Arabidopsis thaliana: one gene and its partner. The protein of the gene in region 2 interacts with the protein of the main gene of each other region in a biochemical or structural test. Each region holds a gene or a part of one and is shown on either strand. Other genes may lie near its edges. The genes, in order: PUB22 and EXO70B2.

Region 1 (4,627 bases), on a different chromosome or scaffold from region 2:
TATTGCTATAACGTGCTTTAGATTCCTATATTCATCTATCTTTTGCCTTCGATCTACCGATAATGAAATGTCTATTGATCGTTAAAACGCATGCAAAGAGTTTTCGTAAACAGTTTTTACCACGTTTAGTCTAAATCATTTTAAACTGAGTGATCTAAAAAATCACAATAAGTGAATACAAAATCACATATATATGAAGGACTTTTGGTATGTTTACATAATAATTAAGAAAACAAATCTTAATTAAGAATTTCTTAAAACAGAAACTCATCCTCGAATGAAAGAATGCCCGTCGTGGATATCGTCGATGTATACTGGAATATATAAATCAATAGTGGGATTAGAGTTGTAGAACGTACCGACATAATATATATATATATACATAATTACATTCGCAATGTTACAATTCTGGCATCAATTAAATGGTCAGAAACGTTACACATGACGCATACAAATCTCTAAAAGTATTTGTAAAAAGTAATGGTTTTAGCAGAACTATGATGTAACCTTTAGGTTATCCACTCAATAAAAACGAGAAGTTGAAAGAGATGTTCTCCATTATTATTGTGAGTAATGGACAAAAAGAATATAAATAAGGAGCCTCTAACAATTACGAACAAAGCAAGTGGGATAAAATAGCCATGTAACCTGTGAATCCATTTATTTCTTTGCAGTTTTTTCATAATTTCATGAAAATATGTCCACTATTATCTACACATAATGATAAACATTGAAAGATAATAAAACAAAAACAAATGAAAGAAAATCAGAGTTTGAGCAAAATTTAAACCACTCTTTTTTGTTTTAAAATGAACTTATACGAAGAATAATTCTCAAAGAATTGTTTGTATCTGATGAGAATTATTCAAACATGTACGTTGTTCAAGCAGGATACGAATCATACAAATTTCTTGGGACACAAGGTGATTCCCTCCAAACCCTAGCGTGAAGCTTAAGCAATTCTTTAGCCTTTTCTTTAGTCTTGTTACCACAGCTAACTTGAAGTACCAGACACAGCTTTGCTACAACTCCCAATTGCAACATCTCCTGCAACAAAGAGGGTGTCGCGCAGAACCTCCCAACCGAAAGCAAAACCCTAACTGCCCTTTCACTAGTTATTTGTGAGACCCTCAATATCTTCTTAGACACAACCGCAATAGCGGCACCGTGATTCAAGAACTCAGCTCTTCCTTCTGCGCACTGACATAACATATCAAGAACCACCATCGCCATCTCTGAATTCCTTCTCTCTGATGAGAAAGTATCGTCCATTAAAAGCTCGATTATCATCGAGATTGTTCCACCTTCCACTGCCTTGTGTCTATTCCTTCCCCATGGACATGTGATCACCAAGATTTGCATTGCTGATCTTGTCGCCTTGTGAGAGATCTGGTCGTGCAAGATTTGAATCACCTCACCGAAAAGTTCTCGTTCCAACAATATGATCTGCATTGGATCCGCAACTTCCAGGAGCTTCTTGAGAAGCAAAGCCGCATAGGCTCTTGACTCGTAGATCCCACGTTGCATAATCTTCGTCAACGTTTTCACAAGATTTGTTCCTTTCTTGTTGTTTAAAAGACTCTTGAGGGCTGTCTCCGATGTGTCAAGATGGTAGAGTACGCTTAGGGCTTCGTCCATCAAGCTTCTTGAAGAATCAAATCGATTCTCCAACATGTTTGACTGACACATGTCGTTGAGATTCGAAGAAGAAAGTGAAGAAGAAGGAGAGTTATACGTATCTACAGAGTTGCTTACGATATTTGCCAAAAACTCCGGAACTTCTGCGGCTTCTAAGCACCGTTTGTTGGTTGTATTCTCAGATACTATTTGACGAAGTCGTTTGAGGCATTTGACTTGGTTTAGATGCGAAGATGACGACTCTTTGATAAGCTTTTCGATCTCCGATTTACAGATCGGAGGTTTTGGAGTTGGGATCCTCTCTATACCATATGATGCGTTGAGGGTACACCAAGATTGAATCAAACGGCGAAGAGTGTGGTTTGGGGTAAGATCAGTTTCGGTTATGACTTGTTTGGTGACTGGACATGAGTTTTTCTTACCGGAAAAGAGCCACTTCTCGATGCTTTCTCGGTCGTAGGTTATTCCGGTGGAAACTATCACCGGATCTTTCATGATATCTAGAGAGATTGGACAAAGGAAGAAGGAAGGAATCTCTATCTCTTGATCCATTTGACCCGCTCGAAAATATGAAAAAAAAGAAGTAGACTTAATCAATGGAAACGACGAACGAATCTAAACAAAAAGCTTCAAAGTGCAGTCGTTGAGATTTAGGAGATATGTGAATTGGTTTGAATAAGTTAGCAAGAAGATAGATGAAGAGTTTGGGTCTTTAAATATAAAGGGATAGTGGAAATATTCAGAATAATTACAAAAGTCAAAACACGGAAAATACAAGTATTGTTAAAACTCTTTTTGGATAGCTGTCGCTATTTATTTATTATTGTATAGTTTTTTATTAGAACGAACGAGGAACGTTATATATAGATTTGACTTTTTTTTTGGGTGGTGTAACAAAAGAAACTAAACTATAAATGCGTTTCTCATATTAAAAAAAAAAGTGAGACGTATGAAGAGTGTTGACTTGTCAAAAGAGATGCGATAACGGCGAAGAAAGTGTAAAAAGTAACCAAGTCATTGGGGATTGGTTGTGGCGGTGTTGAAGACAAATAGATTGTCTGTTTTGTGTCTCTTTTTCGTTTTACTCACATGCCATAATTGCTTATTCCTCCTCTTTTTTTGCCATCCCCCATTGACTTTTTATTTCATTTTACAAAAAATTGTAACCTAAATTGGCTGGCTTGTTTCAATTTTCAAAACTATGGTTAATATAACTGTTAATCAACCGAAAGGTAGATGAAGATTTTTAGGTTTTTAATTTTGTCAACAAAAAGAAGATTACTGTTTTTGGTACCGACAAAACCTAAAGTGCCATTAACGGTCCGTTGTTGGATTTTGTACATTGTTTTAGGATGCAATCTTTTGTGATACTTTTGGACCCATACTCCCTTGTTATGCTCTACTTTTGTCTAGGCGCTTCCACAATATTTTGGATATTCATATTTTCAGTTATTTTTCCTCTCTTTTTTCCTTTTATCTTTATATATATGTTGGCTTTGATCTTAGTGCCAATGGATATGCCTCTCATCTATTGGCAAATGCATAAACTATATACGTTTTTTATCTGCTTTTGGTTATCACTGAAGTTTTGGTATTCTTTTGAGTCTGATATCTATTTTGGTCAATTACATTCGATTAATTAAATAGTTTTGGTATGCATAAACTATTTTGGTACCACTTGTGGGACATTGATAACTCAGTCTCTTCAAGTTGTTTTATCGTTCTTCCGATTATCAGGGATTCACTTAATGTTTTTATAGAACGTTATATCATTTCATCTTGACAATATATATGAGTTTTTGATCTGTCGATGGACATCTTTACTTCCATTTTTGTTTTTGCCATTAAACAAAATCCATAGGTTCTACAATCCAGTAAACTCTAAACATTGTCATTTTTAAAGAATTACATACATTTTTAACCAAATCTATATCTATATATATATACCACTTTGTGTTTTCCAAAGACATCTTTCGATTTCAAACATTTTAGTTATTAAAAATTGCATATATTACGAAAAAGTCAACATAATATGATTTACAGCTTTATATACCCTATGATTAATGAACTTATGAGTTATGATATTGGTTATTTACTAACGTTTAAGTAACGGAATGAAAAGTGTATATATGATAAAGATTTTCTGCTGTTTTTTTAAAAAAAATATACGAAGAGGATATCATCGATAGTCCGTTATCCTTAATCAACACTTCTATACCTTTTAAGATTTCAAATGAACTGATATTTCTCTTGTCATAGTTTGGCTTTGGTGGTTCTTCATGAGTCTTTAATTGTTGGTTTAAGACTTTAAGCCATTTGCTGTTTACATTGTAACTATTTCAACCTATGTTATTATTTGTTTCAAGCTTATTTGACCTGATTATAGAAACTCGATAGTATTCTTATGATTTGGAAATTTGGAAAATATATGAAAGTATAACAGAATCACAGAACTGAAGTGAAATATTTCCATCTTTTTGTTAAATTAAGATATTATTGAAAAATAGAAATAAGTTAGGCAACTCTTGAGCACGACCAGAATCATGACCAAGTTGCAACTATATATGCTACTAATCAGCAATTCATTCAACCACAAAATAATAATTTATCCAAATAGATAGATAATTGACTTCAATCTTGAGGATATATATTTATTTGGGTTTATGTACAAATAGCTCTTTCCCATTCTTTGAGCAGCGGTCATATATTACAGCCAATTAATAAAATTTAAGAATATATATAAATACATATACGTACTGTATGTTGACATAATACAGTATATATATACATCTATACGTACGTGTATACATTAATGTTGTTTGGTCAACTGTGTATACATTAATGTTGTGATCTAATTGATGTAGCCAAAAAAAGAAATACAGTATTGATTTGTTTGATTAGCTATTTCCTTTATTGAAATCTTGAAGAGAATTTTATTTTATAAATGTCCGGTTCCAATCAGTTAACCACACGCCAATTTCTGTTAACA
Region 2 (4,970 bases):
TAATCCTCAAAGATACGGTAACGTTACGTTTCCTTTACTCCCATGCAAATAACGTTTCGCACTAAATCTAGTTTTCCTTGAGTTTTGATCAATTGCATCTCTTTCTAGATTATATTGTATTTGGAAAAAATATATTTGAGGTTGTTATATTGGATCATTTAAAAAAGATATTGCATAAATGCAAAATAAGAAAAAAGAAATCAATCAAACCCAAAGCATAATCCAATTTTCTCCGCACAATTCTCTCATATTAGTATATATCACATACGTGTGAAGTGCATGTATTTTACAGGATTTTTACTGATAATTTTTTTTACAGGTTTTGAAATTATAGTTTGTTATAAGAGAACATTCAAGACTATAAAATATTTCATTTTATTACAAAGCTAAGTAGTTATCAATGTTATTCCTTTGAATGGGACAGGGTTAAAGGAGACGACGAGAGGATGTTGCGGGACTGGAGAAATAGAGTTAGCGTACTTGTGCAATGCTTTAACTCGGATTTGTCCTAACCCTAACCAGTACCTTTTCTGGGACGATATTCATCCTTCCCAAATTGCTTACATAGTCATCAGTCTCAGTCTTGTTGAACAAATTTTCCACGTACTCTCTTGATTTTCATTTTGCTTTCATATATATTAATTAATCTGTAGTCAATCTATAATTATTTCCCTGTGGGTTCACATAATCTTTCGTATTTGCTTAAGCTAGGTTTTACATGTATACTATTATGATATTATACTACTCTATCCTGGTAAGTTGTAACTCTATAGCACAATGCTCGTAAGTCCGTTTTGAAACCCAAACGAATTATATTTTAACCTTAAGGAAATTTCTTACATCAAAAAAGCAATACATGAACAAATCAATGTCGAAAAGGTGATTCCACCGATCCATGAACATTATTCACCCAAGAAAGATAAAAAAACACAGAATGATTCACAATTTTACAAAAAAATTCAATTAATAAGAATTTTTTAATTTCTTTTCATATCTAATTTAATCAACTTGAGCTTTCCTTGAACAACCGTTTGATTATAAACTCCACATCTTCAACAGTATACGGAATAAACGGCTCTCCACGCCTCCCATTAATCTCCGGTGACTCCTTCAATCTTCTGATGAAATTCGAGTACGCCGGAGATACAATTCCGGCAACAGAGCTTCTTAACTCCTCCCTCAATTGCCCATCACTAACAACCCATTGAGATTGCACCTTACACACCTCATCGAACTGTGATTTGAACAATCTTAGGTTCTCTACTAACTTGGGATACGGACCATCGGTCCTAAGCAATCCCACCACTTGGTTCCATGAGCTCCTTCGGTAATTAGAATGGTATTGCCTCAGTTTCGCTGCGTGCTTCACAATCCAATCTTCTCCTAGGACTAAACCTAGCTCGTTATCCTTAGCCTTATCAAGAATATACTTGTCATTGTTCATCATGAACAAGAAACACAAAGACGGATCACGATAAGTTCTTTTCTTGCCTTCCAAGTTACTCTCCAACAACTCCAAAACCCATATGATTTGCACAGACAACGGTCTCGTATCTGATCCGGTTTCATTTCCTGTCTGGTCAAGTATCTGCTCCAACGATTGCCGCGATTTACACGCCGCACGCAGATAATTCATCACGTACCGCGTGATCGGGTGAATCCCACCGCCAGGAAACGCTGTTTTGGGAGGGTCACGTCGGATTAAATTCTCCAGCTCCATAAATATCCCTCTAATCGCTTCTCCTAACCGTTTATGAATCGCGAGCGCCTCATGCCTTAGCGGCGAACAATATCGATCAGAAAATAGCGTTTCCATCTTAGGAATAAGGTCTTGCATCGCTTCGTATAAATCCACAACCTTAAACAAACGTTCAGGTAAACGGCTTCCTAAAGCGATCGCGTCTGCGAAATTCAGAAGCTGTGTTGTGGTTCCGCGACAAACTTCCATGAAAGAAAGATCGGTTACAGAGGAAACAGGAAGATCAGAGAAAACGCGATCGCAGAGAAGACGCTCGCTCGGGAAGAAAACGTGGAATATCAGCGTTACGGCTTTAATCCAACGGTCGATTTCGTCTTCAAGATCTTGCCATGGACTCTCTTGCACTTCCTCCATACTTAGTCCTCTGAGATGTAACCTCGACAAACTCTCCTCTAGAAACTCTCTTCGTCGACTGCTGTACACTCTTGAACACTCTTTTGCAAATCCACCAGCGACCATGCGCACAGCGATCGCGTTTAGATCGCCAATAACGCTAGATTGTAACGCCTCGATCACGATTTTGTAATCAGTGATTGGACGAGCAACGATTACCTATTCAATTGTGAATCACTTAACCACAATATAACCGATAGTAAACCGAATTTTCTAATTCTAATTCCAAAACTAATTTAGTAATAAATTTACAGATGAATTAATTACCCCGTCGCTTGTGTCGTTGTCTTCTTCGCCGGGGAACTCATCGTCCGAGTCAAACGAGTCAGGGGCTCGGTCCATTACAAATCCAAACTCTTCTTGAAGCCTAAACATCACCTGTTGAATCAGCTCATCGGCACGGGATTGACAGACGGCGACGGATTTATCTCCGGCCATGGATCTCAAGTCTCCGGCAATCGCAAGTAGCTCATCAACAGAGTCGAGGAAGGTGCGCGAGTCAACGGGATCAGACCAGATCGGTCGATCTTCCACGATGTAGCTGGAGATCTGTCTCTCTAAAGAGGTGAGGGCTCGGTCAAAGTTGACGTTTGAGCCGCCGCGGGATGGGGTGGGTCGAGGATCTCCGCCGCGGTTTCCGGAAGCGCCATAACCGGAGAGAATCTGTAAGATATCTCCGGCGGCACTTGGATCCTTGCCGAGAGCTCTGGCGATGTCTCTGGCGGCGGCGTAAAGATTCTCGTCACCGGCTTCAGCCATATGATTGGATGGGAATTAATAATGTTCGGGGAAATTACGGAATTGGTGGAATTGGGAGAATAAAGACGAAAATCCATAGACGAAGACTATAATATTGACAAAGTCTTCGGAGATTAAACGCGGGAACCATGTCTGACTTAGTTGTGTGCTTCTGTTTGTATTTTAATGGAATCTGTAATTTCTTAGTGCCACGACCACGACTTTGTCTTCGTTTCGATTTTTCTCTTTTGGTTCTGTCTGGTTTGATGTTTACAGAACGTGAACGCAATTTAACAACCGCGTTGTGCGTTTGGTCATCATGGAAATTGGTTATGGGCCGATGACTTCGTTACGTTGAATTTTCGGCGTCCAGTACACTTGGGCTTTAGATGGCCCAATGGACATATTATTCATTTTTGGGATCGATAAGTTTGATAAGGTTGAGAGGCCCAATTTTTGTCTTTGTGGTTATCTTTTATTTTATTAAAAACAGAAAAACCAAAAATTGAGAGGAAAAACCTCAGCCAGTAGATAGATAAAAGGGATTTGATTACTGAGCATGCAATTGGAGACAAGTCACACAAATTATAGACCAGACGAACACAAATGTTAAGTGATTTCATCAAAGCTCTGGTGGATCATTGCTTCTCCACCACCAATACCAATGGCTTCCCTTTACCTCAATTCCTTACTTCCACTTCCTCCTTCTCACCCCCAGAAACTTTTAGAACCTTCTTCTTCCTCTTTGTTGAGCACTTCTAATGGTAACGAACTTGCTCTGAAGCCGATTGTCATCAATGGAGATCCACCCACTTTCGTCTCTGCTCCTGCTCGTCGTATCGTTGCAGGTTCGCCACCATTAATCTGAAAAGTTTCAATCTTTTTGATAATTTGACAACAAAATTGAGTAGGTTTTGGTTTTGGATATGCACTCACAGTTGGAGACCTTCATGGCGATCTGGGTAAAGCCAGAGACGCACTTCAGTTGGCTGGCGTCTTGAGCTCCGACGGACGAGACCAGTGGGTCGGCCAAGACACCGTATGTACATTATCTCTTAGTGGTTCAGTATCGTGTTAAATGGTTTGCTTGATGATATTATTGACAGTATCTGCTAGAGTTCAACATTACGCATCTTGAGGTTCATTATGATGACTGATTCTTTTGAGTTAAATGCTTATGAGTTGTGAAATCATAATGAAAATACAGGTACTAGTTCAGGTAGGAGATATACTTGATCGCGGTGATGATGAAATCGCAATACTCTCCTTATTGAGGTCACTTGATGATCAGGCCAAGGCTAATGGTGGAGCTGTTTTCCAGGTTTTTGATTGCTATCATACTTGAATTTCATAAGTAAATTTTACACAGAGAAGCTTTTGCACTCTACACATTTTAATTTGCTAGTTCTAGAATGATGATAATTGATAGGACTAACAAAGAGTAACTTCTTGTCACATTTTAAAGGTTAATGGGAACCACGAGACAATGAATGTTGAAGGGGATTTCAGATATGTAGATGCGAGAGCATTTGATGAGTGTACTGATTTTCTTGACTACTTGGAGGACTATGCACAAGACTGGGACAAAGCGTTTAGGAATTGGATTTTTGAGTCAAGACAATGGAAAGAAGATAGGAGGAGTTCTCAAACCTATTGGGATCAATGGAATGTAGTAAAGGTACTTCATTTTGCCTTGTCCTCTCTGAGTTTTCTTAGTTTTTGTATTCGTTGGTTAACCAAAAGTCGGTGGGAAAACCATTAGGACAGAGGCAAAAGGGAGTAATTGCAAGGTCGGTCCTTCTCAGACCAGGTGGTCGTTTAGCATGTGAATTGTCGCGTCACGGAGTTATTCTCCGTGTTAATAACTGGCTCTTCTGCCACGGTGGTCTCCTTCCTCACCATGGTAAGGACAGTCAAATCTATCTCAACATTTCCTCTCGGTGATCTTTTGGATTTGATATATCATATGCTTATAATGTCCTTGCACAGTTGCATACGGCATAGAGAGGATAAACAGAGAAGTCTCTACTTGGATGAGAAGCCCTACTAACTATGAAGACAGTCCTCAGATGCCGTTCAT

What was found.
Region 1: the proteins of EXO70B2 (region 2) and PUB22 form a complex in vitro, tested with the Arabidopsis thaliana proteins (one study listed by BioGRID).

What each region holds. Positions count from the first base shown.
Region 1 is NC_003074.8:19,440,061-19,444,687, forward strand, and holds PUB22 (plant U-box 22), read right to left. Parts: upstream 2,368-4,627; 5' UTR 2,191-2,367; coding exon 883-2,190; 3' UTR 557-882; downstream 1-556. UniProt on the Arabidopsis thaliana protein: E3 ubiquitin-protein ligase that negatively regulates water stress response. May control in coordination with PUB23 a drought signaling pathway by ubiquitinating cytosolic RPN12a.
Region 2 is NC_003070.9:2,149,395-2,154,364, forward strand, and holds EXO70B2 (exocyst subunit exo70 family protein B2), read right to left. Parts: upstream 3,148-4,970; 5' UTR 2,912-3,147; coding exon 2,420-2,911; intron 2,312-2,419; coding exon 1,004-2,311; 3' UTR 764-1,003; downstream 1-763. Other genes in the region: AT1G06990 (GDSL-like Lipase/Acylhydrolase superfamily protein), read left to right, coding at 1-17, 425-615; SLP1 (Calcineurin-like metallo-phosphoesterase superfamily protein), read left to right, coding at 3,555-3,738, 3,802-3,914, 3,997-4,029, 4,110-4,211, 4,356-4,568, 4,658-4,793, 4,880-4,970. UniProt on the Arabidopsis thaliana protein: Component of an exocyst subcomplex specifically involved in autophagy-related, Golgi-independent membrane traffic to the vacuole. Regulates autophagosome formation and autophagy-related Golgi-independent import into the vacuole.